Canis lupus familiaris: one gene and its partners. The main gene of each other region encodes a partner of the protein of the gene in region 3 in a complex. Links are inferred from orthologs where the notes say so. Each region holds a gene or a part of one and is shown on either strand. Other genes may lie near its edges. The genes, in order: PPP4R1, PPP4R4, PPP4R3B and PPP4C.

Region 1 (7,251 bases), on a different chromosome or scaffold from region 3:
GGTTCAACACTCGTAAAACAATCAATGTGATTCATCATATCAGCAAGAGGAAAAACAAGAACCATATGATCCTCTCAATAGATGCAGAGAAAGCATTTGACAAAATACAGCATCCATTCCTGATCAAAACTCTTCAGAGTGTAGGGATAGAGGGAACATTCCTCAACATCTTAAAAGCCATCTACGAAAAGCCCACAGCAAATATCATTCTCAATGGGGAAGCACTGGGAGCCTTTCCCCTAAGATCAGGAACAAGACAGGGATGTCCACTCTCACCACTGCTATTCAACATAGTACTGGAAGTCCTAGCCTCAGCAATCAGACAACAAGAAGACATTAAAGGCATTCGAATTGGCAAAGAAGAAGTCAAACTCTCCCTCTTTGCAGATGACATGATACTCTACATAGAAAACCCAAAAGCCTCCACCCCAAGATTGCTAGAACTCATACAGCAATTTGGTAGCGTGGCAGGATACAAAATCAATGCCCAGAAGTCAGTGGCATTTCTATACACTAACAATGAGACTGAAGAAAGAGAAATTAAGGAGTCAATCCCATTTACAATTGCACCCAAAAGCATAAGATACCTAGGAATAAACCTAACCAAAGAGGCAAAGGATCTATACCCTAAAAACTACAGAACACTCTTGAAAGAACTTGAGGAAGACACAAAGAGATGGAAAAATATTCCATGCTCATGGATTGGAAGAGAATATCTCCTAAGATTAGCCGCCCCGCATTAACCCTATGAGGACATACTCACCACCTGATTCCTCTTCTGATTATGAAATTAGTTTGAGCTGGTTTGCAGTTTCTACCTCCTGGAGGGTTTCAAAGATCTGCTGGGACGGTCAGTTTTCCTCCTTTGCTGGGTCCTGTGCTGCCTCCGGAAGCCCACTTCTCTCCCTTAGAAGCCCTGGCGCTCCCGCCCCGAGGCAGGAGCAGCCCGGCTCGGCCCACATGGCGCTGAGTGTGGAGCGGAGCCCCCACCTCCTGCGGCCCGGCCCGCGGTTCTTCAGACGCGACCACGCGGGAGGGCTCCAAGGGCAGCGCCGAGCAGCAGCGAGGTCGCGGAGAGGCCGGGCCAGCGGGGAAGGGGCCTGTGCTGCCTTTGTACGCTTGCCCTAAATTCAAGTCCTTTATCCCGAATATACTATTACTGCTGTCGCTTACGAGAACACGCAGCACCGGGACGCCCAGGGGGGCTCGGGTGGAGCACCGCCTTCGGCCCAGGGCCTGATCCCAGGGTTCCGGGATCAGGTCCCACATCAGGCTCCCTGCATGGAGCCTGCTTCTCCCTCTGCCTGTGTCTCTGCCTCTCTCTGTCTCTCTCTCATGAATAAACAAATAAAACCTTAAAAAAAAAAAAAAAACGCAGCTTCGTGTGGGACGGTCACGTCATTTACACAACTGAAATTCTGGGGCTGCGCCCTCCTCCCATCTGTGCCCCCCTTCTGGGCCAGGCCCCACCAACCCCCCCGACCCCCTCCATAGACCGCCGTGCACCCCCGCTTCCTCCATCCCAGGGCAACTGGCTCACACTTCCGCTCGCAGGGTTGTAATGCAAGAGGCAGAGACACAGGTCTCACCTGCGATAGTCGCGATAGTCTGTACACAACACGGCCTACGTGTTCCCCAATCCGCACCCCGAGGCTCGAGGGGACCCTGCCGGCTGAGTCATGGAAAGCAAAGCTCACAGGTGCACCCCAGGGACTCAGGCCAAGGGTCCTTCAAGCTGGGCTCAGAAGAGCGACCGCCACCTCCATGCAGCAGTCTGCAGCGTCCCAGTCCCAGCTTGTGCAAGGCCGCTCGGCCACAGATGGGGCATGGCTTCCCGTTCCCACTGTGCAGAGGCCGTGGGGACTCAGAGCTGCAGGACTATGTGTCCGGGGCCTTGGGCTGAACTCCGGACACCCCACTGTCTGCTGGGAACAGAACCTGGCCCCAAGTGGCACATGCAGATGGCAAACAAATTACTAAACTAGGTAAAAGACAAATATTTTAATCTAGTTTTCCCACTTCATACTAAATCATTAATACAGGTCACAAATTGCATTTATTTGCAGACATCTAGAAAACAATCAGAAGTGTATATATCTCTCTATATAATCTTATTAATAAATTTTATTCGGACAAGAGAACTTGTGCCACAAGTTTAGACAGCATGATTAGACTGCAGCACTCCCAAGAGTGGTCACAGGTATGTACACGTGGGAAGTAAAGCTGCACCTCAGAGCCGATCATGATCAAGTTAAAAACACCTGACATACAGCACGCGCCAATCCACTCCTTCGGGTCATGACCAGCATGAAGAAAATCGGGACATAGATACTCAGCCAACATTCTGTAAATGTGCACAGCAATATGCTGCATTTAAGAGTTAAAATCAGATTCTACTTTAGTGTTAGCATCAAGCCCTTAGGAGAAACCCACCCCCCAATCTCCTTTCGCATTTACACACGTCGGCAACTATTCACACTTAGGGCCGGGCTGGGCGGCTGGCCACGGAACCAACAGGTCCTTGCCTGCGTGGGGACAGTGCGGGCTAATACTGAAGGTCTCGGTCACATCCTGGCTCGCAGCCACCTTCTGGCTGCCACTCCATCTATCTGGCATTAAATAAAACCAGGAGAAAGCAATGCAGGTCTCTGGGAATCTCCTCCCTTCCATACGGAAAATGCTCTGCCAATTCAAGTTTCATTCAGTCAGGAAGACGGAAGGATTTAAGGCTTCGGTGACAATTATAATCCTCTGAGAAATTATTTTCCCTTAAAGTCAAGATAAGATAATAGTGTTTACTGTACTTTCTCTTGACTCTTAAAATCCCTGGTATCAATGTAGGCAACTTGCACCTGCAATTAATCTGCAAGCGAGGAAGGTCTCTCCTCCTCCCCAAGGCTGGCCCAGATCGCATGTGTGGAGCACTTGTCAGCCCTTGGCTCCCTATGAAGCGGAAGGATGAGGTTCCGGCCTTCTAGTAGGTTGAGGAAGCTGTGCTCATGGCATCATCAGAGATTTTGGTACTGGCAGGGTGGATGCTTGCAAAATACTTGACGTCACTGTCACGATCCATCTGAAGAGCCATGATGGTCTGTTCTACGGCTTCCTGATGACAGCTGGCAGAGGTTAGGAAATATTCTGGAGATGCAAAATGCAGATTACAAATAAAATGAGTTTAACATTTCAGTTTTATCAAGTATGAGTATACTAAGTTCTTAGTCATAAACATAATTTCTCCAAGTATAAACACAAGCTATGTCGAATTACAAATAGTAATCCAAGTTGATTGGTGTGATATGAAAAATATCCCCAAGCCTAAGAGAATTGTATGATTTATCTTGTTTTTAGAACAGACTAAATGGCAGCAAAGCTAATAAATATATTAACACTTATACTTGTGATAGGTATTAATTCAGTACAAACACCCCAAGTACCAATCACACAGGTTGAGAACCAGTTTTCTTTAGCTATTTCCTTACTGCTATTAAAACAATTTAAATGAATTCTAAAGGAGGGAAAAGCAGTATTCATTTACCCATATTCTTAGAAGCCTATTAACAAACGTTTCTATGCTTCATTCACGAGTTCATGCATTTAAATGCTATTTGTTAGATATGGGGGGGGGGCGCCGACAATAAATAAAACACAGCTGAATCTTGAGCAGCTTATTAGTATGTGGCAGCAAAGCAAATACCAGGAAGCATCTGTCTTCTGCCTAAGGAGTGAAGAGGAGGAAACACAAACATGCCTCCTGGCCCTGAGCAACAGTAACACAGGTCACGTGGGACAGACTGACGGCAGTTTCTCATCCTGTCTTAAGAGAATACCTAATCTTTCAAATGACTGTCTTGATTTTTTTTATTTATTTATTTATTTATTTATTTTTTATTGGTGTTCAATTTACTAACATACAGAATAACACCCAGTGCCCGTCACCCATTCACTCCCACCCCCCGCCCTCCTCCCCTTCTACCACCCTTAGTTCGTTTCCCAGAGTTAGCAGTCTTCATGATGACTGTCTTGATTATAGAAGAAATGCCCCTGGAGCAGGAAGGCGAACAAGTCCCTGTCATCTAATCTGTGCCCTCTCTCAGGGGGAGCCCCCACTTGACAACTCAAGTCTTCTCCCATCAGATAACACGTAGGAACATATAGTGCTTCCGCTCAGCTACGTCTCCATCCGTGCAGTCCGTGTACCTCCTCCCCGCAGCACACGGTTTTCCTAACAGTCACCTACCCACCTTTCTCCAGGAGAGTTTGTCTTAACGTCTTTGCAAGCAGCACTCGAACGTTCGGAACCCGATCATTTGCCAAGGTTAGCAGATGCGGCATCAGATGCAGAGCGAACTGGTCCATGGGAAGGCAATCGTCCTCGATGACAGTCTAGGAGGACAAACAGTTCCTTTAATCTGCCAAGGTAATCGCCAAACCCTGGAATACTGGCTAACATTCTCTTTTGTTAACAGCCCAAGCACTACAGATTTCAGCTACTTCTTTTTAAACTATCATTCCACGCGCTTGGGAACCCCAAACTAAGAGGACATAATTTTAAGTCCTCACAGACAAATAGGTTTTTAATGGCTCTCCTGAGTCCCGGAGTGTGCAGTCATGCTCATTTACACACACACACACACACACACACACACACACACACACACACACACGCCACAGGCTATGCCATGGACCCCGAGCGCCCCCTAGTGGATGGCTGTGGGATGAGCCAGGCAGACACCAACTGGGGAACAGGTGATCCCCTGGAGAGCCAGATGGCAAAAGTGTTCCTTAAGGATCAGAAAGAGAGTGTTGGGAAGCACAGTGAAAGAAGAAACATAGTTTTAGATAGAAAAATGTGTCACGCACGCATAAGTCTTCACTTACCTGGCAGACAAAAACAAAGGCTTGCCGGCCAGACCACTTGGGACATCTACCAAAGTTTTCTACGAGCTCATTGATGAGGTCAACTCCAAACGTGGGGGGCGTTGCCATGTGCAGCTTCTTCACCATCTCACTAACCTAGGAGGGGGAGCGCAGAGACATGAGGAAGACTTTCTGTTCCAGGATCTTATTAAACAGTGTGCTGTTCTAAAATTGAAAAAATTGTAACACATACCAACTTGTAGGAAATCCAACGAACAGAAGAAACTTTATCTGCACATAGATTCAGAGCAATGGGACGTAAATAGTCATAAACATCTCTGGGACTATATAATTCTAGAAGTAAAATCAGCTGTCTACAAAAATGAATTATAAAAATAAAAATATAATTAAAATTTTAAAATAAATAAATGAAAATAAGTTAATCATCTGAATAATTTGTAATACTGGATACTATTTGTAAGATGAACACATGCAAAGACTAGTGAGCAATGTGGTCTCTCATGCACAGAGTCATCACCAGTCTGTATGTCTCTAGAAATGTTTTTAAACACTATGCAAGTTCAAGTATCTCCTCCCCTCAAAATGTAAGGAAAACAAATGTGGAATTCTAAGTCCACAGGGACTGAGACAGAGCAAAGCACTTCCTAGTATGTTCAGTTGGGACATGGACATATGTAACTGTTCAGAATGCTGAGAAACTTCCTTCTACAAATCAGTTTCCTAAATAAGAAGTTCTAGTAAGTAGTATTAGGTAGCCTGAGGTGTGTGTGTCCAAGCTCTGAGCAGCTCCTAAGGGAATGACACCCCTATTAGAGATAAGAGAAGCAGAGAGGTCCTCTAGTGACTGTTTCTATCACATCTGGGTAGACCTGAAGACTGACCGTATCCGCCTGGCTACTTTGAGTAGATGCAACAATGCCCGGGAAAAAATACCTCCAATACCAGTGAGATTTTGCCTTTCAGATTTCATGTTTAAGACTATTTACATTCGTTATCAGCAGGGAGTAACTAGAGGCATGAATATACATAATGTAGCAATGACCAAGGTACCTGTATGTATGTGTGTGTGTGTGTGTGTGTATACACACACACACACACACACACACATAAATACTCAGAAATGAGAGGCACAATGATTGACTCCATTTTCTTTTTTTCTTTCTTTCTCTCTCTTTTTGAAGATTTTATTTATTCATCACAGAGAGAGAGAGAGAGAGAGAGAGAGAGAGGCAGAGACACAGGCAGAGGAAGAAGCAGACCCCATGCAGGGAGCCCCATGTGGGACTCGATCCCGGGTCTCCAGGATCACGCCCTGGGCCAAAAGCAGATGCTCAACTGCTGAATCACCCAGGCATCCCTCGACTCCATTTTCTGACTCTGCAAATGTTCTTGCTGGCTTGCCCTGGGTGCATACCTCAGGAGAAAGTCTGGGGTCAGGAAAGCAAACTGGAGAGAGGCCCCTCAGCAGGCAGGAAATGAGTGACACATGTTGAGGTACAGGGGTAAAGTCCCATGCACCGCCCCGGGGTCCTCTCTTTACCAAGCCTGAGCCTTAAGGTGCTGACAGAGGGGCAGCAGAGCCCGTCCACCCACGGGCACAGGCAGACACACTGCAGCCGGGGGCAGAGGAGAACGAACTCTACCCCAGAGCGCGGCGCGGCACGGCTTCTTGGGCTAAGGCCCTACCCGGTGACAAGCGAGGTCTCCTCCTGCTGAGGACGGCAGCGGCCTCTGCCCAGCACTGGCCACAGACACAAGGCAGAGGCTGCGTGCCATGGGGAGGGGGAACCTGACGGAGCCAGGCACACGCGGCGCCTCAGCGCCTGGGGCTGAGCCCACGACAGCTTCCCCCGTTTCCAGCACAAGCCTCCCACATCCGCGCAGTGGTCTGCAGCCGCAGCCGAGGGAGGGGGGACACCCGCCGGCTCTGCAGGGGTGCACGAGAGCCACCAGCTGCCGGGGGACAGCTGACCAGCTCCCGCTGCCAGCAAGGGGCCCCGGCAGGCCCGGGGAGAGGAAGCCAGGCGCGCTGGGCGCTCCAGGCAATCCTGGCGACCACAGAGCCAAACCCGGCCTGCTCGCGATCAGACGGCCTCTCCCCTCACATCACCAGCGGAAGACATGTGCCTAGTCCATCAGAACCCGGCAGGCCAGCACTCAGCGGGGACCCCCTGCACGTACAGAGAAAACAAGCAAGACGGCCAGTCCCAATTCTGGACCCAGCAAAGACGTCTTTTAAAAATGTCAGAGGGGATCCGTGAGTGGCTCAGCGGTTTAGTGCCTGCCTTTGGCCCAGGGCACAACCCTGGAGTCCCGGGATCGAGTCCTGCATCAGACTCCCTGCGTGGAGCCTGCTTCTCCCTCTGCCCGTGT
Region 2 (7,974 bases), on a different chromosome or scaffold from region 3:
GGGAATATATTAACAGCTGCTAGTAAGTGCTATGAAGTTTGATCTTAATTGTTTATCTCAGCCTGATGATTTAGTACTGCTGTACTTACAAAGCTAAGAAGACATAATTATGCCATATTTTTAACTTCACTTATCAAGAAAGAAATGATTTACAACATAGAGTATGAACAAAGTACTTGCAAGTCTAAGAGATTTGTTTTACCTTCTTTTACAAGACAGTGATTCCACACTTAAAAGGAGATACATGGTTATTATAGCATGTTTTCCATGATCAAAGAGGATACTTTATTCTGCTTCAATATTCTCTGGAGAAAAGAAAGATTTATATTTTCCATTCCATACTTAATGGCTAGAAGACTCATGCATTCATTCAGCAAAATTTATTGAGTGCTTACTATGTGCCAAGCACTATATCTAGGGTACCTAAAAGAGACAAAGGAAATATTATCCTGGAATCTGAAATTTCACTGGAGACAGACAGTAAGCCAACATATGTAGATAGTATGTCAGGGAAGAACAACAGTGAAGAACAGTAAAGCAGGGTAGAGAATGAGGAACGTGACAGTGGGTAGTAGGATGCTCTTGTGGAGAGAGAGTGGTCAGGAAGGAGTCCTCTCTGATCAAGTACACTTCATGCAGAGGTTTGAACCAAATAAAGGAGTTACCGTGTGGATGTCTGAAGGACAGGTGGCCTGGGCAAAGGGAATAGTGTGGTTGCGTGAGGAGCAAGGAAGCTGGTGTGGTGAGTGGCAGAGAGATGAGGCAGGGGGTGGTGGGGCCCGCAGCACAGTGCACTTTCAGGGCCTTGACATGGAATCAAGCTTGTATGCTCTGAAACATGGAAAATCTTTGGAAGGTTTTGAGTAATGATTTTTTTTCTACTTTTTCTACTTTTGTAAAGATACAGAAAGGCAGAGAAAATGATGAACCCCCATGTAGAACTCAGCTAGACTGAATAGTTATTAACATTTTGCCATATCCACTTTTTCTGTTTCATTGTGCTGAGGAATTTTAAATTCTAAGTATCATTATATTTTATCTCTGAACATTTCAGTGTTCGTCTCTAACAAAGGACATCCTCCTATATAATCACAATATAGCCATTGCATTTTACAAAGCAGACAATTATTCTTCAATGTTGTTTCATATCTCTGCAGTCCACATTGGCCCCCTAAGTATATTTTATAATTGTTTTATTCCATATAGGATCCAATGCATATCCATATAGGATCTACATTGCCTTTGGCTGTTACAACTCTTAATTGTCTTTTAATTCAGAACAGGCTCCCACTTCTCCCTTTTGCCACTTTTTCATGACATTGAATTGTGGAAGAGACTTTGTTGTCCTGTAGAATATTCTGTCAGAGTGCTGCTTCATGGTTCACCTATTCTCAATATTTCTTGTAAATGGGAAATTAGATCTAATAGAAAATTAACCTAAAGCTCACTGAATTTTAGGTTACACATTTTTGGTGAGAATACTTCTTGGACACCAATTTACATTTTATATTGCATCCTATCCAGACATGTGTTTCTCTGTCAGTGAGCTCAGAGTGTTTGTCCAGGTGGGGACAGCTTTATCAGTCTGGTGCAAAATTATGTTTTCTCTTGCAAGGTACACTGTACCCTGAAGCTGATGGTTGGAACACTCTGAACACCATTTTTCCATCAACCTTAACACTCATTAGGCAACCACTGGTGATCCTTCCTGAATCTGTTTTCATTAGAACTTGCAGGAGAGTGATTTTTAAAAATTCTATCACTTCTACATTTTTCATGACATTCTTCCATGAAGAGATATTCTTCTTTATCCATTTGGGTAATTTGATTACACTGAAATATATTTCCTCATGTAATCCTTAGTTTTTTCCTCCTGCTGTCAGTTTTTAGAGTTAGGAGCTGGTGCAGTAACCACTCCCAGTGGTGACAACTGAGTTTTGTTTTGGTTTTGTCTCCCTTTCAGGCTTATTCTCTAATATTAGATATTGTTTTAATCAAATGCAGTCATTGTTTGTGTACTCAGATTGTCACAATTTACTCAGGCAGGGCCTGACATGTTTTTGATACGATTACCTTCATCTTTGATTTCTGGCCCAAAAGATAGCTTATGTTATACTGTGAGGTAAAAAAAAAAAATTTTTTTCATGTGACTAGTATTGATGTGTTTGAAATTCTATTAGTATACACAAATTGAAGAAGAGAGTAACATGTTTTTATTCAGTTCATTTATCTAAAATTCATTTTTAAAATGCCAGTGATGCTTCTCTTTATGTACCTTTCTTAAATTTTCTGTTCTAATTCATAGGGAATACTCTCCTTTTACGTTTTTTTTTTTTTTTTTTTTTTTTTAAATTGAATAAGGAGGAACTTTATTTATATATTTGTGGCTCAAGGTGATCAGATGGTTTTTTTTTTTTTTTTTTATGATAGTCACACAGAGAGAAAGAGAGAGAGGCAGAGACACAGGCAGAGGGAGAAGCAGACTCCATGCACCGGGAGCCCGATGTGGGATTCGATCCCGGGTCTCCAGGATCACGCCCTGGACCAAAGGCAGGCGCCAAACCGCTGCGCCACCCAGGGATCCCTCCTTTTACGTTTAACACATCAAAAATACCACACAGAATAGTACTCTAGAGAAAAAGAGCTTGTATAAAACATGAGAGGAGGTAGTAGGCTACTCCCCGCAGTGTAGTAAGTTTTATTCTACTTGAATTTCAAGGATCCCCACTATAATACTCTGAATCTTTGAATATTAAATATGATGGTATTTATATGTAAGCCAAGGTGGTAAATACGAATTTTTTACTGGTTGAGAGATTTTTTTTCTAATATATAATTTGAACCCAGTAAAGATAGATAATTGAATTCATTTACAGTTGACAAATTCTGCCCAGTGATAAGATGGAAAGTCAGAAGACAAAGGATTATAGAACACTAGTCAGAGTCACTGACATGGTGTCCCTTGGATTCTAAATTTTATCTGTGATATAGGCCAGGGATCTCGATGAATGGTCGAAGAGGCAGAAGCAAGCGGAAGGATTGAAGGGTACACTTGATCATATGATTTCTAGATTTCAATTTAGAAGTGGCACATTTTTGGTGATTAGGTCTAAGGCAGGGCATGTTCTTGCAATATTTGTTGAATAAATGAATGACAAGGTCCAGGGAATGGCTAAGAGAATGGATGGCTGAGATGTTTTTGGGGAGAATGCCACTTAACGATGAAGTGGCAGAGAAAGGAGAGTCAACTAAAAATCAGATCTGGATGATTTGGAAATGACTGTGCCAAACTAAATTAACTTTGTAATGTGATGCATTAGTTGATCTGCCTGAGTGATATTCACACTGAATTAGGAAGACACTTCCTAGGTGATTTGAGAGGCAGACAAAATTGCTCTTACTTTTAGCCAAAACTGAAAATTGATCTGTGGAGCAAAACTATGCTATAAGATTAGTCTAATTGTCTTTCCTACCTGTTTCTTTAAGAATGTCTTACCTGTCCAAAAGGCAGCTTCACGAACTCTATGCATTTTTCTACGTTATAATCGTAAACAAGAACAGAGACATGAGGTCATTCAGAAGTTAATTGAACGTAAGTAATCATTGCCTTTTATTTGGAAAAGCAGAAAGTAAACTGGCCTTAGTTATCTTGGGCCGACATTATGTATCATTTTTCCGTGATGTTGATAAATATCTAGAGTGTGTATTTGAGTTTTGTAGGTTATTTATTTTTTTTTGCTTTAGAAATTTAAATGACAGGATCGGTCTGTGATTGAATGGGAGAAATATTTACTCTGGGCCTTCTTTAGTGAGTTTCTACACTTGAGAAATTAAAATAATGTATATATATATTTTTTTTAATTTATTTTTTATTGGTTTTCAATTTGCCAACAGATAGAATAACACCTAGTGCTCATCCCGTCAAGTGCCCCCCTCAGTGCCTGTCACCCAGTCACCCCCACCCCCCCGCCCTCCTCCCCTTCCACCACCCCTAGTTCATTTCCCAGAGGAGTCTCTCATGTTCTGTCTCCCTCCCTAATATTTCCCACTTGTTTTCTCTCCTTCCCCTTTATTCCCTTTCACTATTTTTTATATTCCCCAAATGAATGAGACCATATAATGTTTGTCCTTCTCCGATTGACTTATTTCACTCAGCATAATACCCTCCAGTTCCATCCATGTCGAAGCAAATGGTGGGTATTTGTCATTTCTAATGGCTGAGGAATATTCCATTGTATACATAGACCTCAACTTCTTTATCCATTCCTCTGTCGATGGACACCGAGGGTCCTTCCACAGTTTGGCTATTGTGGACATTGCTGCTATAAACATCGGGGTGCAGGTGTCCCGGTATTTCATTGCATCTGTATCTTTGGGGTAAATCCCTAGCAGTGCAATTGCTGGGTCGTAGGGCAGGTCTATTTTTAACTCTTTGAGGAACCTCCACACCGTTTCCCAGAGTGGCTGCACCAGTTCACATTCCCACCGACAGTGTAAGAGGGTTCCCTTTTCTCCGCATCCTCTCCAACATTTGTGGTCTCCTGCCTTGTTAATTTTCCCCATTCTCACTGGTGTGAGGTGGTATCTCATTGTGGTTTTGATTTGTATTTGTCACATATAATTTCATGCAGGAAAGATTAAACTTATCTTTTTTGTTGTTGTTTCTAGAACTGGGCCAAGGAAAAAGTTATTGGAATAGACTTCGATTTTTGGATACCTGTGAATTTATTATAGAGATCTTTTCCAAATCATTTTTCTGTAAATATTTCTTTCTACCTGCTATTGAACTGACACATGATCCGGTGGCAAATGTAAGGTATGCTACTAATCCAAAGAAATACTTGAAAATATTGTACATTTAACTTTATCTACTATAATTCATCTTCTGATCTACTATAATGTACTTACACTTTGAAATTCCTGGTAGTCTTAATTCATGAGCCTCAATAGGACTTGGAGGCATAATCTTTTTAAACAGTGCCTCATGTCTTTGATTTATTGGGTTAAGAGAGTAGTAGTCAAAGCCAGACTGGCAGGCTTCTCCTGCCACTTGGATAAATACATAACATTGGTGTCAGGAGAAGGTTGAGTAGATAGATATTCTTAATTTATGGATTTTCTGAGACTAAAGAAAATAACTTAAAGTTGGCTTGGCCAAGTTCTGTCCATTTTTAGAGGCAATCAGGATTGGATTTTGTTTCGTATTTTTAGTGTAAGAAAATACAGAAAATGCTACTGCATTGGCTTCAGTATTTTTACATCTATGTTGTTAATATTTTGCAAATTGAAGTTGTGACTCTAGAAAATCAGCTCCCGGTGTGATGAATTATCATTTATCAAGCAATTGACAAAGATTATTTGAAAGGAAATGAAATCATCTCTACTCTGGTCAATATGACTAAATGCATAGCATTGACCCTAAGAGATAGCAACCTGACAATTCAAAAACCAAATGAAGATTAATTGAACATTGCTCCATAAATATTGGTTATTTTTGGAGGGTAAGAGATCATTGCATAGCAATTTGTCTTGGTTTCAGTTTTCTTCTTTTTTTTTTTTTAAGATTTTATTTATTCATGAGAGACACAGAGAGAGAGGCAGAGACACAGGCAGAGGGAGAAGCAGGCTCCCCTCGGGAAGCCTAATGTGGGACTCAATCCTAGGACTCTGGGATCACGACCTGAGCCAAAGGCAGACACTCAACCTTTGAGCCACCCAAGTTTCAGTCTTCTACCTGGGCAGCTGCCAGCCAAACAAATGGATTCAGCAACACAGTATGCTAATTGGCTTTTGGATACAAAGCATTTGCCCAACTCTGTAGAGATGTTATTTAGAATGAAAGCCATCACAGGCAAGAGTGGTGGGATCATGCACTTAGTAGGAGGGTTTCTGGAGCTATACCACCTGGCCTGATTTCCAGCTATATACTAGCTGTGGTCTTTGGGCAAGTTACATAATCTCTCCGTGCACTAATTTCCTTAATTACCCAATTCATAGGGTGTTCTGAGGAATAAATACCTGAGATAATGTATATAACAAAGTTAGCTTACCAGAAAGATGTGATATCTAATCTTAAAATCTTTATAATCTCACGGGTCCAGGAATCTCACAGAGATAACTCACCGCTGTGGCTTCTTCTTCTGTACCTTCTGTTGAATATATGTTTTCTAGACCTACTTTGAGTTATGAAGAATGAAGTATGCATAATAGTCTGTTGTTTCTGTTTTTCCTTAAGTGAATGTTTAAAATTTGAATTCATTGATTATAGACAATATGAAGCCTGGAAAGACCATTGGTATTCCAAAGGAACCTTCCCCTTTGCCAGAAATGCAAAAAATTCTCTTTGGGGCAACTCGGGCCTCTTAATTTAAAGAAAGCATCACCAGGATCCGTGGTGAGCTCTGAGTGAGTTTAAGACCATTATTGCTATGAACAGAGCTGAAAATTCTGGAGGAAGAGCCTGTTTAGCCTTTTTGCTTGAATAAAAAGCCAATTTTTTTTTTTTTTTTTTTTTTTATATGAAGATTCCTCAACTGTGAGCTTAGCTGACAAAGTGTCCTGGAAACTCTGGGAGTGGAACTTGGTTGTCTCAAATTGGCATAAGGAGTAAAAAAAATAGTATTTGGAGAGCACTAAGATGAATGAATTGATACAGCAGCTAAAACATAGGCAACCACCTAGCATCCCTCTTTAAAGCCAGCCCTGGCAGAGTGGTAGGGTAGTAGCTTAGCAAAGCAGAGAATTTTTTTTGTACTGCTTCTTCCTAGGAAGCTTTCTGTACTTCCCTGGATTGCTTCTCTCCTCTTTGGCATTCTTCAGCCTGCGTGTTGCTTCCTTATCCATGTGGTATAGACTGGGATGGCACCTAGACTCTGTCCTTTTATCTTTTCTTGAACTGTACCTACAGCCTTGGTGATCTGTCCAGTCTCATGACTTGCATATCATCTGTGTGCTAAAGATTCCTGACTATATGGATATCCCTCCTGGACGGGAGCCACGTTGAGCTAGCTGCCCACCTAGCATTTCCATGGCATGTCCAACAGGTGCCTCAGACTCAGTCTGTCCCAAAGTAAATCCTCATCTCCTGCACCTGCACACACCCTTGCTCCTTCTGCAGTGTTCTCCCTCTGAGCAAATGACCATCGCACCTTAGCACCCACTCAGGTCAAAACCTTAACCTCTTTTCTGCCAACCCACTGCAGTCCCTCAGCACATCCTGCTGCTTGCAAAATATACTGAGTCCAACTGCTTCTCCCCACCTGACTGCTAGCACTGTAATTCAGGCGGCCACCATCTACTGCCTGAATTACTGCCAGAGCTTCCCTATCGTTTCCCTTCCATCCCCAAACACCTACAGTCTCCTCTCTCTTAGACTCAGTAGTCAGATGGTCCTTCCTGCATGTTAAGTCGGATCCCTTCATTCCTCGGTGCAAAATTCTCCATGACTTCCTATGGTGCTCAAAGGAAAAGCCAGTCTTCAAGCAGTGGTCTACAAGGCCCTGCAGGAGCTGGCCTCCTGTTGACAGTTTGGGCCAATTTGCCGATTTGGAGTAATACCCTAGGCAAGCTCCCCCTGTAGAGCATTTGCACATACTGCAGGCCCCTGCCTGTCCTGTTCCTCTCCAGATGGTCACATTACTTCCTAATTTTCTTTAAGTCTTTGCTTAAATATTCTCTTTTCAGTGAAACCTTTGCTGAAACCCTCTGTGACCACGTGTTTTAAAAATGTAATGCCTCTCTGGTACTCTCTCATCTTTTCCTGCTTTATTTTTCTCCACAGCCCTTAGTACTATCTGATGGACATTTTACTGATTTCCTTATTCTTTCTTCCCTGCCCCATACTACAGTGTAAGCTCCCTGAGAGCAGAGAAATTGTTGGTTTTATTCAGTTGTATTTCTGCACCCACAATGAGTGCTTGACTCATCACAGATACTCCATAAACATTTGCGACATGATAAAACAACAACAACAAC
Region 3 (7,974 bases):
GAATCTGCTTCTCCCTCTCCCTCTGCTCTTCCTACACCCAGCCCTGCTTGTGAGCATTCTAAATAAAAATCTTAAAAAAAAAATTTAATTGACAACTTAAAGCCTATCATATAGTTGTAATGTTTCCCTCCAAATACCTGGTTCTCCAAGTAATTAAACTAGTATTTTTAGATAAATTTAGTTTTGCTTTTTCATTTAGTTTTAAAATCCTTTATTTTTAATAAAACAATTATTTTAAGACAAATTGTGTATGGCTGCTTCTCTGAATTACGCAAAAAACCTTATGGGGGGAAAAGGGGACTACTTTTAAAAAGTCTGAGTCAAACTTTTCCTTGTAGTAATGTAAAAACAGGACACATTCAAAATCCAAAAACCCAGGGGTGCCTGGCTTGCTCAGTCAGTAGAGCATGCAACTCTTGATCTTAGAGTGGAGTTTGAGACCATGTCCGATGCAGAGTTGACTTTAAAAACAACAACAAAAACCATCCCAAACCCAGAACCCATTCACCATTATTAGAGTCATGTAAATGCAGAAATTTAGAATTAGACTAGGCTTTAAAAGATTACATACATTGCCTAGTCCAATTCTAAATTTCAAGAGACTAATGCCCAAAGAGTGGACTTTCCTGAGGCTGGCTAGTAACAAAGATGGATTTAGAATCTAGGTTTCCTACACAATCAGGTTTTTGTCACTCCTACCATGTATAATAAACCACAGGACAAATTTCTAAGTAGTTTAAAGTTATGAACCCAAAGTAAAACATAGACACAAACTAGAATAGGCCAAATCTAGTAAAATTTAATATGTTAAATCCTAGATGAAGTCCAAAAACCTCTAAAACAAAATGAAGCATTATATTATTGTAAACAGTTGTTTTCTTAAAGGCATTGGAATATTTAATATATTAATAACTGGGATAAAGGTTAGAAATGTCTTTCTTTAGGGCTGAAATCCACAAAATAAGTCAAAAAAGAACTAAACTTCTGATTTTAATGGGTTTTTAGCTCAACTCTCATTTATGGAATAGTGGAAATATATGTTATATGTTAAATTTGAGATACCTGTCCTCTACCATTTCTAGTGAAGGAAGTGAAATTTTGTTCTGAAAAAGATCTTATCTGTAGCTGTCTATGCAAAATAACTCACTTTATTGGCTTTTAGAAAATTAATTTTTAAAACATACTTAGATTTCTTAATTCTGGGCACATGGGATTTTGATTTGTAGTTAGAAAGTTCAGGGTTGGGACGCCTCGGTGGCTCAGTGGTTGAGTGCCTCCCTTCAGCCCAGGGTGTGATCCTGGAGTCTCGGGATAGAGTCCCACATCAGGCTCCCTGTATGGAGCCTGCTTCTCCCTCTGCCTCTGCCTCTGCCTCTCTCTCTCTCTCTCTGGGTCTCTCATTAATAAATAAATAAAATCTTAAAAAAAAAAAAAGTTCAGATTAACCAAACTCTTATGCCCCAAACAAACTTAAGAGAATCTCAACGTATATTAAGAGTACATACCAGGAGCCAGAGACCATAGTAAGTGCTTTCTTTTAATTTCTCAATTAACCTGATTCAGGCTAGGAGTTATGTACCTTTGACTAACTCATTTTGGTCCAGATAGAATTCTTACATTTTTGCTTGCTTATGTAACTCCTACAACAGCAGGTTAATACTCACTTAAGAAGCTACAGATATCAGGCCATCATAAAATGAATCACATAGCTAAACACTAAGAAAAAGATTCTCAACTTTTTGGTCTCAGGCCCCCTTTGAACTCTTAAAAATTATGGAGGACTCCAAAGAGCTTTTATTATGTGGATTATGTTTATCAATATTTATAATAAAAACAAACATTTTAAAACATTAATTTGTTTTAAAACTAAGCTATTATAAATCTATGTAAATATTTTATGAGAAAATTTTATAAATTTAGAAAAAAATTATAAATTCAGAAAAAACGGCTTTTACATTTTTGCAAATCTCTATAATGTTTGACTTAATAGAAGAAAGCTATATTCCATTATCTTCTTATAGTCCAATCTGTTGTGATACCTTGTTCTGGTTGAAGTATATGAAGGATATATGGCCTCACAGTGACAAGAAGCTGGAAAAGGAAAAACTTCACAGATCTCTCTGAAAACGGTTTCAGAAACCCTGAGAACCACTATATGATGTATACAGAGGCTGCTCAAAAAACTTAATGAGTGATATGGACATAACAAAGGCAGTTATATAGGCAGTTACAGATATATATAGTTATATATAGGCGGTTATAGTAAATAAAAATCTTCAAAATCATCTTTACTACACTGTTAGGGTATAAAGGATTAACACAATAAACACAGTATGAACTTCTATTTTACAACTCAAGGAGACAGAATAAAACCAACTTCACACAGTAAATAATCTAATTATCATTTCCTGAAAATTAATGACTGTTTCTCAGTCCTGGCTGCATATCTCAATTATTTGGGAAGCTTTAAGCACACACACACATACTTATATATACCTCCAATGATAATTAGGGCTCATAAAATGAACTAAAAGATAGTCTTAAAACAGGTGCTTTTGTTCAGGATGATGAAAAAGTTCTGGAAATGGATAGTGGTGATGGCTGCATAACACTGTGAATGCACTTAATGTTATGAATTATATACTTAAAATGGTTAAAATGATCAATTTTGTATCATATATATAATTTTTTAATGCATGTAAAAATGAAGTTAAAAAAAAAAAAGCTCCATCAGAGAACACTTAAAAATGTAAAAGTTTGCATTAAGAAAGGATTCTCCTTCAAATACCCATGAGATAAAGTCCTGTTTTCTGTGCTTGACAGTATATTTAAGATAAACAAAAGAAATCTTCCAAAAAGGAATGAACACCAGCATAAACTATTATAGGAGATAAATAACTGAAAAAAAAAAAAAAAAAAAAAAGAACACCTTTGTTCACTTACCTGCAACATGCTGACTATCTCCACTTTGTTGAAGAAAATAAAAGACGTTAGAGTGGAAAGAAAATTCTCTTCAAAAACAGATGGCGTAGGCAAAATGATGTCCTGAATGTACTGTACCCTGTAAGTCTGATGTATTTTTTGCCTTAGTTCAGAGTCTGTTATTGGTATAACTTCCTTAAACTTTGCAGTTTTGGTCAAAAATTCTCTATGCCTTTTTGGCTGAGCCAAAGCAGGGTCATATTCAAGGCATCCCACAACATCCATGATACACTCATCAGAAAACATTACTTCAAACAAAGTTGCCTTATTTAGGAATAATATTCCTCTAATAATTTCATACAAATGGTGTAAGCCTTCAGTGTTTTCTAGATTCTCACAAGCTTGGAACAGCTGCAGTAGTTTTTTAATATAGCCTTCATTTTCCAAGGCCAGAGCCAGCTTTTCCCTACGGATAGGTGAGGAGAGAACTGAGGTAACTAAGTCAGCAATCTCTTCAAGTTTATTGAGTTCACATGTGGGTAGGTCAATCAGATGACTGGTTTCAGGTATTTCTTCAAATCGTTCTTCTTCTGATTCATCAATGAGGTCCTGTGTGACTTCCACAGATGGATCCTTACCTTGAACCTAAAAACATCCAAGTATAGCTGGTTACCTTAAAATACAAAAGAATTCAAAGTTTTGGAAATCAAATCACTGACCACTGAATTTAAGTAAAAATATATCTTGCAAAGAAACAATACTAGCCACACAGTCCATTGTTAATTAGAAGTGAAGTCTAGAGGGAGATAACACATCCAGTTTAAATTATTGGCGTCTCAATTTCACCTCTAAATTTCACAACTTAAAACTTGAAGTTAACTCTGATTCTTGACAACCTGAACATTTAAACTGTTACATTGATTTATGTGATGTTATATAGAAACTACATAGTTGTTTAGTAACTTCAGTATTCCTAATTTTGAATTTTGCAGTTTAACTCTTCTGTGGGTCCCCCAAATCACTCTGTATGACTCTTAATGCACCATCAGATTAAACCAAGAAAAAAACTACTAATTTTTAATATATATATGTATTTATTTTTACACACACACACACTTTTTTATGAGAGAGGGAGAGAGAGAAGGAATTTTTTTTTTAAGATTTATTTATTTATTCATGAGGGACAGAGAGATAGAGAGACATAGGCAAAAGGAGAAGCAGGCTCCATGCAGGAAGCCCGATATGGGACCCAATCCCGGGACTCCAGGATCATGTGCTGGACCGAAGGCAGACGACGCTCAATCAGTCCTGAGAGAGAAGGAATCTTAAGCAGGCTCCATACCCAGCAAGGAGCTCCATGCAGAGCTTAATCTCACAAACCTGAGATTATGACCTGAGCTGAAATCAAGAGTCAGATGCCTACCCAACTGAGCCGCCCAAGCACCCCAAACACTCTTAAGTTTAAATGAAACTGAAACCCAACTCCTTGCATATTCAAGAGGGAGGAGATTTCCTTAAATTACTTTTGAAATTCACTTTGGGAAAAATACTTACTTTTGTTATGAGCCTAAAACTGCTCTAAAAAAACAAAGAATATTCTTTTAAAAATTGGCTTTCATTTAACATCTGTGATAAAGCCTCCAAGTTACAATACATAGAAAACATAATAAATACAAAACTGTTTTATGATTCATGTTGACAGCTCAAGAAAAGCATGGCTAACTTATGACAAGTTTTCTATAATGATTTCTATAATGATTGTTTAATATAAAAACTTTATAATTTTTTTTTCTAATTCCCAACACGAGAGTGTAATTATCCTCTTTTCCCCTCAAAACTTCCAATATCCTGAGGTAAAAAAGCTCCACATAATTCCAAATCCACCAAAACAACACGTGAAAAAAGTCCTAAGAGCTTAGAGAAAGTAAAGAGATACACTAGTGCATATAAGATACTTTTCCTCCTACAGCATGAGAGTACTTCTTTTACTTCTGAGTCCTCAACAGAGTAGCTGAGTTTAGGGAGACAGACAAACAGAGAAAGGACAAGTAACAGAGCAGTTCAGATAAAACACCATGGACTTGATGGGATGAGCACTGGGTGTTAGACTATATGTTGTCAAACTGAACTCAATAAAAAAAAAAAAAAAAAAGAAAGAAGAAAAAATACTCAAATTCTAAAAAAAAAAAAAAGAGAGAGAGAGAGAGAGAGAAAATACCATGGAAATTCAGAGGAAGGGACATTCCTCCCAGCTCTTCAGGAATACAGGAGTGAGACTGTAAGGAAGAAATTATGAAAAAAAAAAAAAAAAAGCAGTGGCATTTGGACTTTCAAAGATGGGTAAGATTCAGATGGGGATAAAAGTCTGCAAAGGGAATAGTAGAGGCAGACAGATGGAAATGTGTGACATGCATATGGCAAACAGCAAAACTGGAAATGTAGATTAAAGCCAGATTATGGAAAGTCAAGCTAGAACACTTGAGTTCAGGGAAGTGAATGTGCAGCATTATCCTTTATAAAGTCAACCTGGCATCAGATGTATGGAATAAATTTGAGAATATAGATAAATTAAGGTGTTATTCCAAAGTGTATATGAACAACTGAATTTGGATAGTGATGGTGGGGTAGATAAGGGACAGGTAGAAAAGAGAGGAGGGGGATCCCTGGGTGGCGCAGCGGTTTAGCGCCTGCCTTTGGCCCAGGGCGTGATCCTGGAGACCTGGGATCGACTCCCACGTCGGGCTCCCGGTGCATGGAGCCTGCTTCTCCCTCTGCCTGTGTCTCTGCCTCTCTCTCTCTCTGTGTGACTATCATAAATAAATAAAAAATTTAAAAGAAAAAAGGAAAGAGAGGAGGAACCATGAATTATCCTACAGTTTTAAATATGTCATTAGGAAGATTATGGCTCCTTTAATAAAAACTGGTACATTCCAGAGAGGAATGGTTAGTACAAGCTCAGTTTTATTAAGTTTGAGGTGTCTGAATACCCAGCTTGCAATTAAATCTGTAGACCTACTACTCAGGAAAGAGAATAGGACAGAAAGTAAGAGGACAGAAATTAGGTATTAGGATTAACACTTAAAGACAGAGGAGTCTGATAGTAACCAGAGAAACAGGAGTAGTGTATGACGTGGGGAAGGAAGAGGAAGGAGAATCATAGGTTATAAAGAAAGAAGAAGAAATCAGAGGAGGGGTGCCTGGCAGGCTCAGTCTGTGGAGCATGTAACTCTTAGGGTTGTGAGTTCAAGCCCCAGGTTGCATAGAGATTACTTAAAAATAAAATATTTAACTTACACTCTAAATGAATATAGTTTGCACATGTCTCAGAATAAAAGCACAGCTATAGAAGCATTCACTGGTGATGTTTATTTCTGTGTTATCCAGTATAACCCTTACAAGCTTCCTGGACTCTCCTAAATTTAACTCTCACTGATATGATCTGTCAATCCCACATAAACCCAAGTGACTATCTGGATGTCAACAGTGCTGTTCATCAAGTATTTCGGGTTCTCTTCCTTTTGCGGCGCGACTTTTGTGCCCACAAAGTTATTCGTAGCTCTATGATTTGTTTTGGCCAATGAAATGTGAGCAAAACTGCCATATGTAACCTCTGGGAAAAACTTTTAAAAGCCAATGCGCCAATTGCCATCTTTCTTTCTCACATTGCAATGATTTTGGAAATACTAAAATAAATTCTCTATCAACTGGGTCCCTGAGTGGCTCTGATAAGCACAGCCCCTTCCTGTCCAATTGTACTCCTCACTGGTCATATAGCATTAAGGAAAAACAAATTTTTGTTGTGATAAGCCACTGAGGTTTTAGGATTTTGTTACTGTAACACAATCTAACCTTAACATCCTTAAAGTCAGTCAACTAACTATGCTGAGCACGTTCACAAAAAATTTATACTGTCAGTAGGGTTCTCAACAATAATTTCTTTTCCACACTCCTAGCTTACTTCTTTACAGCTTTTGTTTTGATTCTTCCCCCTTTTTAAGTATCAAACACTATTACTTTCTCCTTTAAATCTCAGGAAAGAGAATCTTTCCTTTGAAAGAAAGAGACCACTAGTATTCAACATACTCCAACATCCTTCTCCATCTCACAACTTATTTTCACTCATTTCCTTAATCTCTTTCAAAGAAAATATCCTTACCCTCTCATTTTCTGAGGTTAAAACTTCCATATGTACTTTTGACTTCATGCTTTTTAAAAGCTATATATACAGAAATCAGCTCTAACTTCTTCCTCTCCAATTGTTCTTTCTGCTCTATTATTTACCATTCCCCTTAAAAAATGTATTATTCTCTGGGCTGTCAAATTTTTCAGAGGGGTTCTACTTTCTCATTATAAGGAGTTAAGAAGTAACCGAGTAATATTTTTGTTGAAATTAAAACTTTTTTTAAAGGTCAGCAATGACTTCTCAGAAACTTAAAGTAAAACATAATGTATGGTTCTGTGGAATATCAGTTGTGAGGAGCTATAAACTAAATGTGTGTTTAGCGACATGCACAGATTAAAAAAATATAATATATAGGGCACTTGGGGGGCTCAGTTGGTTAAGCATTTGCCTTCGGCTCAGGTCATTATCCCTGGGTCCTAGGATTGAGCCCCATTTCAGGTTCCCTGCTAAGCAGGGAGTCTGCTTCTCCCTCTTCCTCTGCCCACCACCCACCCCTACCATTCATGTATAATCTCTCTCTGAAATAAATAAATAAATGTTTTTTAAAAATACAGTACTCAGTTGTTTAGTAAAAATTAAACTTCCTGGACCAGGAGAGTGGCCAAATCTAACACCCTTTCCAAAGGTGGAAAAGTGTGAGTAAAAATCAGTGACAAATGGGAAGAAATAGTAACAAAGGGCAAAGGAATGAATAAATGGGTACAACAAGAGAAATCCAATATTAACAATAGTGCCTCAAGAAAGGATCAGAGCAAGAGATGTATTCTCTTAGCTGAACTGTATTAGACACCTGGAAAGATAAAAGCCTTATGTTTTCCAAGATCACCTATTCTTGGGACTTGACAAGGTTGAATGGAGGCCTGTAAATA
Region 4 (7,145 bases), on a different chromosome or scaffold from region 3:
AACAGTCTGATCCCCGGGCTCGCCCTCGCCTTTCTCAGGAGACCCCTGTGCGGTGCGGAGGGGGCGGCGGCCCCGGCTCTGACCCGCGCCGGGGGGTGGGCCATGGCGGAGATCAGCGACCTGGACCGGCAGATCGAGCAACTGCGGCGCTGCGAGCTCATCAAAGAGAGCGAAGTCAAGGCCCTGTGCGCTAAGGCCAGGTGAGCCGGGTGGCCCCGCTGACCCGGGGTTCCGGACTGGGGCAGACCCAGCCGAGAACTTGGGGCCTGGCTCATCCTGGAATCTTTCCCAGAGAGGAGCAGAATAGGGCCACTTCCCTCGAGGAGCAACCAGCCCGTTGGGAGAAGACAGACCTGGAGAAAGACACTTAAAGTATTAGGTGATGTGTTTTCAGTGGCGTCAGAGAATTATAAAAAGTCCTAAGGAGGCTCAAGGAGACAGTCCTACTTGTCGGGGGAACAGAGTTTCTGGGAGGAACCGAACTTTGGGGATAGGCCTTGAAAATTAAGATGATAAAAGGGAGCGTTGACAAAAACAGAAGTTCAAGGCAGTTCAAGGCTAAAGGCTCTATGGTTTGTAGACTTCTTATTAATCCCAAGAACAACCCCTAAAGGTGGGTGGTATTGTCCCCATTTTGCAGCCGAGGACTCTTCTATTCAGAGTCAGCCAGCAAGTAAGGGATGGAGTCCGAAGCCAGTGCTCCATATCCTGTCTCTTTTCAGGCCTTAACGCAAGATGGTGGAATTGGATCTCCTCATGTTCAGTGTGAAATAGTAGCAAATAAGTCAGAATGAAATTAAACCTGACATGAAGGGAGGCCTGTGGGAAGTAGGGTCATGTAGTGGTTAACAGCTCAGGCTTTGGAATGTGATGGTTCTGGGTGGGAATGTGAGCGTTGCCACTTACTGGCCCTGTTGGTGATCTTGAGGTCTCTGGCAGTTTCTTTATTTGTAAAGTGGGAATAATAGTATTTAAGAAGATGATGGTGAAGAGGCAGTAAGTTGGTGCCTCGGACTAGCTTAGCATAGTGCTGTGGTACAATGTAAGTGTTCAGCAGTCTTTAGGTGTTACGTTACTACCGTGTAGGAAGGGGGCATTGCCAGTAAGGACCGAAGTCACCAGGGAAGGCTTCTAGGAGAAGGTGGTCTTGGAAGATGAAAATAATTTGGGTAGCTAATGGAAGCAGAGCCAGGGACCAAGGATATTCCCAGGAGGATGAGAGCAGGAGTGGAAGCTCTGGGATGTATGGGCACCAGTGAGGAGACCACTTACCGGCCTCCCCTGAGGTACTGTTTGTGGCTTGTACCACGCTGGAGATTGTGGGGAAAGAGCCAGCACAATGACCCTACATTCCTTGAACAACAGGCGTTGTACTGGCAAGGAACTTCTCTCTTTTCCGTACAGGAGTCTTGTGAGATGGAAGCTGTTTGCTCCCTTTAACATGACTCCTTAGGGACCTAGTGACTTGACTGAGGTCACCCAGAAAGAAAGTAGCAGAGCTAGGTCCCGGCCTTGTGGCTCTAGGCCTCTTGCCTGGCTTTACCTCAGACAGACCCATAGTGGCCAGACTGGGCCTGTTTGGGAAACAGGCAAGGCCTCTTAAATGCTTGTCTGCGACTCTTTTGTGTTCTGGCAGTGAAAGAAAGTTTTCCTGACTGGACCAGCCCCAAGGTGTTTTTAGTCACCGCTGTTCCCTCAGTCTTGACAGCATTTTTAGGAACTTAAACCAACTGTTGCTTGGCACTGTTCTTTTTCCTGTAAGACTCATCTTGCCCAGAGGGCCTGAATTCATTTGGTGGTGATGATAGCTAGTGCTCGCATAGCATGGTGGGGTTTTCAGAATGACACACAGGTTATGTATCCAGTCTCACCTGCTCTTGGCAGCAGCCCTATAGAGCGGGCAGGTTGGAGAGAGTGTTTCACAGAAGAGGAAACTGAGCCTCAGAAGACATAATGCCTTGCCTGTAGCCCCATAGCTGGTAGGAAGAGAGGTTCACTTTGTTTGGATCCAGGTCTTTTACTATACTGCCTGTAAACTGATAGCCAACCAGTCAGCAAGGCAGTGGGGAGCTATAGAGGATTGAGGGGTCGGGGAGTCTTGCCCAGCTGAAACTGAGAAGAGCTTGGGAGGTACTGGGCTGAGACCTAAGTTGGCCAGTATTATCCAGGGTCTGTTCTGAAGGGAGAACAACTTGTGCACCTGGCCGTGGCCTCCTGGAGACCCACAAGGGGCCGAGGCCCAGGCCAGTAGCATCTTGGAACCTCAGCTTGCCCCCAGGGTACATAGATGTAAATTCTTGGAACTAGAGAGGCCTGAAGTATGTGAACCAAACTTGGTCGTCTTTGAAATACCAGTGTAGGGGTGCCTGGCCGACTCAGTCGGTAGAGCATGCAACTTCTGATCTCGGGGTTGTGAGTTTGAGCCCTACATCGGGTGTAGAAATTACTTTAAAAAATACTTACATAGGGGAAGCCCCAGTGGCGCAGCGGTTTAGCGCCACCTGCAGCCCAGGGCGTGATCCAGAAGACCCTGGATCGAGTCCCACGTCAGGCTCTCTGTATGATGCCTGCTTCTCCCTCTGCCTGTGTCTCTGCCTCTCTCTCTGTCTCTATGAATAAATAAATAAATAAAATCTTTAAAAAAATACATATATAATGTATATCACTATGGTAAAAGAGCAGAGGGTTTGAATTGGGTGGTCTTCATCGTGAATCCCAGCTTTGTCCCCTAAAAATGGTGTGACCCTGGTCAAGTCACTGTACCTCTCCAAGTCTTTGAAGTCATTATGGAGCTCAGATGAGATTCTACATATGTAGGGACAGGGACTGGCATTTGTTGTGGAAGTAAAGGTGGGTAAGTGTGAGCTCTGAGAGGGCGGGTGATGTGCTGTGAGTGACAGAGCTGGGGTCGGAGGCTGGTTCTCTTTCCCCCACCTCGCCGGGTCCTGCCCCTTTTTTCTCTGAGCTTCAGTTTCTGTGTCAGATGAGGATGAGAAGAACCCCCCTGAGTCATTTGAAAATGTCTTCACAAGCAGTTGATGTGGAAGGATGCTGGACCCATGATGTAGTCCAGCGGCGGGGAGGGCTTGGTGGCCAGTTGGCCTCCCAGACCCCTGCCGGGACGCCCTCCCATTCCCAGAAAGCCAAGCAACCACACTTCCCTCAAGCTGCTTTTGTCTGAGAGAGTGCCCTCAGGGACATAGGTAAAATCACGGGTTCTCTGAGCTCAGGGAGCTCCTAGTCTCCTAGGAGGAGGCTGGCGGAAAAAGGTAGGCAGGTGCCTGGGGCCCTCCAAAACCAGAGCAGCTTGATAAAAGTGCCAGATCCTGGAGCCAGGCTGCTTGGTTCAAGTCCCACCTGTAGGACTGTAGCCAGTTTATTCATCCGAACAGTGGGTGTCATCACGATGCCTGCTTTGGGGATGGTTCTTTGATTGTGTCGTCGATGCAGAGCTCTTACTGCAGTCCTGCGGCATATCAGCTAGAGTGGTCACTGCTGCTGTCATCAAGGTAGAAATCTGGAAGTGTGGCTCCTCTCCAGTTGACTGTAACTGACAAAGTGATTTTATGTCATGTGCTGGCAAGTAGTAGTAGACTCCACTGCAGGGAGAAATGAAAGAACAACGTTGTCACTCCCTTTAAGTAAGGAAAAACACAGCACATCACTTTGATGGTGTGTCTGATGACTGGGTACCTTGGGATGGTCTGTGCAAGGCCTCTGATGAGCAGAGAGAGACCGTAAGCTAAGTGGAGGACACAGTCTCAGAGTACTCGAGGCTGAGGAAGCAGCGTGAGCAGAGGTCTCTGTGCGGAGAGGAGGTCTGTTTTCTGAATGAGCACCGGTTGTGTGAAAGAGGGCAGCAGGGAGGGTTAGGACTCAGAAGGCTGCTGCCTCCTTGGAAAAACTTTGAATGCAGTTAAGAGTTTGGGCTCTGGCCAATTGGCCTCTGGGAGGCCTGGCCAGGCCTGGTCAACCCACCCTGGGGATATTGCACACCTCACTCCTGCCCCCTAGAGGTTACCTCATATCCTCCCCTGGAAAAGATCAGGAATTGGGCTGGCCTGGCCTGGCCTGGCCTGGCCGTGGTGACCCTGGTCTTCTCCTGTCTCCAGAGAGATCTTGGTAGAGGAGAGCAACGTACAGAGGGTGGACTCGCCAGTCACAGTGAGTACCTGTCCTTCCGGAGCCTAGCTTCGTCTTAGGCACACGGGCATACCCCCTAATCTTACGGGCTGCAGAGGGCTACCCCCATCCCTGAGAGCCCAGGGGCCCTGTGTATCTGCTCCTTCTCCCATCTTTAAGGGAGCCTTGCTATATGAAACAGATGTTATGGGAATGGTCTTTTAATATGTTGGGGGGATACTCTTGGCCAGGGCAGAAGGCTTCTTACTATGGTGAGTGATTCTACTCCAAATGTTCCTGTGTATTCTGTTATTAGCAGCTTTATTCTAGGTTCTTTGAGGGGAACAGGGAGAGGAGCGGGCTAGGTCCTCCAGAAGCTACAGGTCTAACTGGAAAGACCTGGCTCTAGCTCTTGCCCACAGTAGTTGGCACTCTGTGTGGGATGGGTTGTGATTCCAAACCAGGCAGAGTCGGGGTAGGAGAGGAGATTTTGGCCCTAAGAAGTAAAGATTTGGCCAGGAGTGATAAGGAGCTGCTAAACAGTGGGTGTTTTGAAGGTTAGTCCCTGGGAGCAGAGCTTTCAGACTGTGAGTTGCGACCCACCTCTCCTCACTTTGCAGGTATGCGGTGACATCCACGGACAATTCTATGACCTCAAGGAGCTGTTCAGAGTAAGTGTGGGGAGACTCTGGGACCCAAAGGTGACCTGGGGCATGAATTGAGAGTGGAACCTTTAATTTGGTGAGTGGAGTATAGGTGAGAAGCCTCTAGTTTGGTGGCTTTCTGAAAGAAGGGCTGCCATAGCGGGGGACATTTTGGGGACCAAGCAGATTCTTCTCCCCCCAGGTGGGTGGCGACGTCCCAGAGACCAACTACCTCTTCATGGGAGACTTTGTGGATCGTGGTTTCTACAGCGTCGAAACGTTCCTCCTGCTGCTGGCACTGAAGGTGGGGACCTGGGCCACCTCAGGCCTGACCTGTCTGCTTCCTTTCTGCCCCCATCTCTTGACCTGTGCTGCTAGTGCCCAGCTTGCCAGGGAGCAGACAGGGCAGCTTCCCCTGCCCTGGGGGCATCTGACGGGGCCCCTGGAGCAGGAGTTGGAGCAGCAGCATTGAAGGGGAGGGAATAGAGGCGCCCTGTGCTCAGAAAGTGGGGGGTGGGGCATGGAGTTCTCCCGGGTCTGGCATCCATGGGTGGGCAGGATGACAAGGCACCTGAGGGTCTTGTTCAGGACTTGGTGGTGAAAGCGGAGCTGGGTCTATAGTTGGGACAGAGAGAGATCAGCCTCAGATCCCCTGGAGGAGGGGCTGGGGCCTCCGAGGTGGATGCGGCGCCATGCAGAGGCAGGCACGGGATGATGTGATGCTGGGACAGGGCTGACACATGTGAGGGGTCTGAGAGGGACATGGGAGGTGACAGGGGAGAAGCAGAGCCTAGACCCCAGCCCGCCTCCAGGTTCGCTATCCTGACCGCATCACCCTGATCCGGGGCAACCACGAGAGCCGCCAGATCACCCAGGTCTATGGCTTCTATGACGAGTGTCTGCGTAAATACGGCTCGGTGACTGTGTGGCGCTACTGCACAGAGATCTTTGACTACCTCAGCCTGTCGGCCATCATCGATGGCAAGGTAGGCTGGCCTCTGGGCCCTGCAGGGACGGGGAAGGGTGGGGAGGCGAGGAACCGCTGGGCTCAGCTCACCTTCGCTCCTTTCTGGTCTCTGTGTAGATCTTTTGTGTGCACGGGGGTCTCTCCCCCTCCATCCAGACCCTGGACCAGATCCGGACCATTGACCGAAAGCAAGAGGTGCCCCATGACGGGCCCATGTGTGACCTGCTCTGGTCTGACCCTGAAGGTGAGGGTAGTAGGGCGGGCCGGCTCTCCCCTTAGTTTGGCAGGAGACTGAAGGGGTCCTTTGGTTAAAGGGACAGTTAAAGTGTTGAAGGGGTCTAGCGAGGTGGGCTTGGGGAAGAGCAGAACAGGTTGGTTTCCATGGGCCCTGTCCATGAAGAGGAGGAGCGGGGGCAGCTGGTGTTTTGAGCTCTGAGGGGTCAGGCATGTAGATCGTTGTTCGGAGGCTTGTTTGGGACAGAAACATCCGTGCCCTGAATGTGAAGGGGCTTCTGCAGAGGGTAGATGCCCAGAATGCTGGCCCTGTGAGGATTGTCCCTGATTTTGTGGGACTTCCCAGCTAAAATAGAGCAGAGGCTGGATTGAAAGCCAAGTCTCCCGAATACCAAGCTCCTTCTGTGATGACACAGCCTCCACTCTCTCACTGCCCTGCCCAGCTTCCTGGCCACTCCTCCCAGGGCGGCCAGGGCAGGCCTCATTCACACCTGCTTGACCTGTGTGGTCATAATGGGCGCTTCCTTTCACTTTTGGGTACGCCTGTTTGGCCAGTGAATCACATGGCCACTCTGATTATGGGGTAGCTCCAATGGTCAGAAAATTCTTTCTCCTTGGAGCTTATCTGCTCCAGCAATTGCGGTTGACTCTGGGATCCCCCAGAATACACTCAGGCCCTGTGCTCTTGCCCCATGGGCCTCATTGGGAGAAGGGGATGGAATGTTCTTTTTCAAAGGGCAATGGGCACCAGAGAAGCCTGGAGGACACCCTCTCCCCCCATCCCTACCTTCTTTTGCTTCAGACACAACAGGCTGGGGTGTGAGCCCCCGCGGGGCTGGCTACCTGTTTGGCAGTGACGTGGTGGCCCAGTTCAATGCAGCCAACGACATTGACATGATCTGCCGCGCCCATCAACTGGTGATGGAAGGTTACAAGTGGCACTTCAATGAGACTGTGCTCACTGTGTGGTCTGCACCCAACTATTGCTACCGGTGAGCAGCCCGGGCCACGAGGTGGGGGTGGGAGGCAGGCTGACCCACCCGTCTAACACGGCTGCCCTCCTACTTCCAGCTGTGGGAATGTGGCAGCCATCTTGGAGCTGGATGAGCATCTCCAGAAAGATTTCATCATCTTCGAGGCTGCTCCCCAAGAGACCCGGGGCATCCCCTCCAAGAAGC

What was found.
Region 1: PPP4R3B (region 3) and PPP4R1 share a complex: the UniProt entries of both Homo sapiens proteins name them as parts of the PP4 complex. The link is inferred for Canis lupus familiaris from reciprocal best matches to the Homo sapiens genes PPP4R3B and PPP4R1.
Region 2: PPP4R3B (region 3) and PPP4R4 share a complex: the UniProt entries of both Homo sapiens proteins name them as parts of the PP4 complex. The link is inferred for Canis lupus familiaris from reciprocal best matches to the Homo sapiens genes PPP4R3B and PPP4R4.
Region 4: PPP4R3B (region 3) and PPP4C share a complex: the UniProt entries of both Homo sapiens proteins name them as parts of the PP4 complex. The link is inferred for Canis lupus familiaris from reciprocal best matches to the Homo sapiens genes PPP4R3B and PPP4C.

What each region holds. Positions count from the first base shown.
Region 1 is NC_049228.1:75,606,751-75,614,001, forward strand, and holds the end of PPP4R1 (serine/threonine-protein phosphatase 4 regulatory subunit 1), read right to left. Parts: intron 5,232-7,251; coding exon 5,111-5,231; intron 5,014-5,110; coding exon 4,879-5,013; intron 4,384-4,878; coding exon 4,242-4,383; intron 3,139-4,241; coding exon 2,975-3,138; 3' UTR 1,987-2,974; downstream 1-1,986. UniProt on the Homo sapiens protein: Regulatory subunit of serine/threonine-protein phosphatase 4. May play a role in regulation of cell division in renal glomeruli. The PPP4C-PPP4R1 PP4 complex may play a role in dephosphorylation and regulation of HDAC3.
Region 2 is NC_049229.1:63,603,064-63,611,037, forward strand, and holds part of PPP4R4 (serine/threonine-protein phosphatase 4 regulatory subunit 4), read left to right. Parts: intron 1-3,486; coding exon 3,487-3,592; intron 3,593-4,668; coding exon 4,669-4,816; intron 4,817-7,974. UniProt on the Homo sapiens protein: Putative regulatory subunit of serine/threonine-protein phosphatase 4.
Region 3 is NC_049231.1:57,720,663-57,728,636, forward strand, and holds part of PPP4R3B (serine/threonine-protein phosphatase 4 regulatory subunit 3B), read right to left. Parts: intron 3,568-7,974; coding exon 2,944-3,567; intron 1-2,943. UniProt on the Homo sapiens protein: Regulatory subunit of serine/threonine-protein phosphatase 4 (PP4). May regulate the activity of PPP4C at centrosomal microtubule organizing centers.
Region 4 is NC_049227.1:18,251,282-18,258,426, forward strand, and holds part of PPP4C (serine/threonine-protein phosphatase 4 catalytic subunit), read left to right. Parts: intron 1-38; 5' UTR 39-102; coding exon 103-200; intron 201-292; exon of another isoform or gene 293-379; intron 380-4,112; coding exon 4,113-4,164; intron 4,165-4,742; coding exon 4,743-4,793; intron 4,794-4,968; coding exon 4,969-5,070; intron 5,071-5,578; coding exon 5,579-5,752; intron 5,753-5,850; coding exon 5,851-5,977; intron 5,978-6,769; coding exon 6,770-6,959; intron 6,960-7,038; coding exon 7,039-7,145. UniProt on the Homo sapiens protein: Protein phosphatase that is involved in many processes such as microtubule organization at centrosomes, maturation of spliceosomal snRNPs, apoptosis, DNA repair, tumor necrosis factor (TNF)-alpha signaling, activation of c-Jun N-terminal kinase MAPK8, regulation of histone acetylation, DNA damage checkpoint signaling, NF-kappa-B activation and cell migration.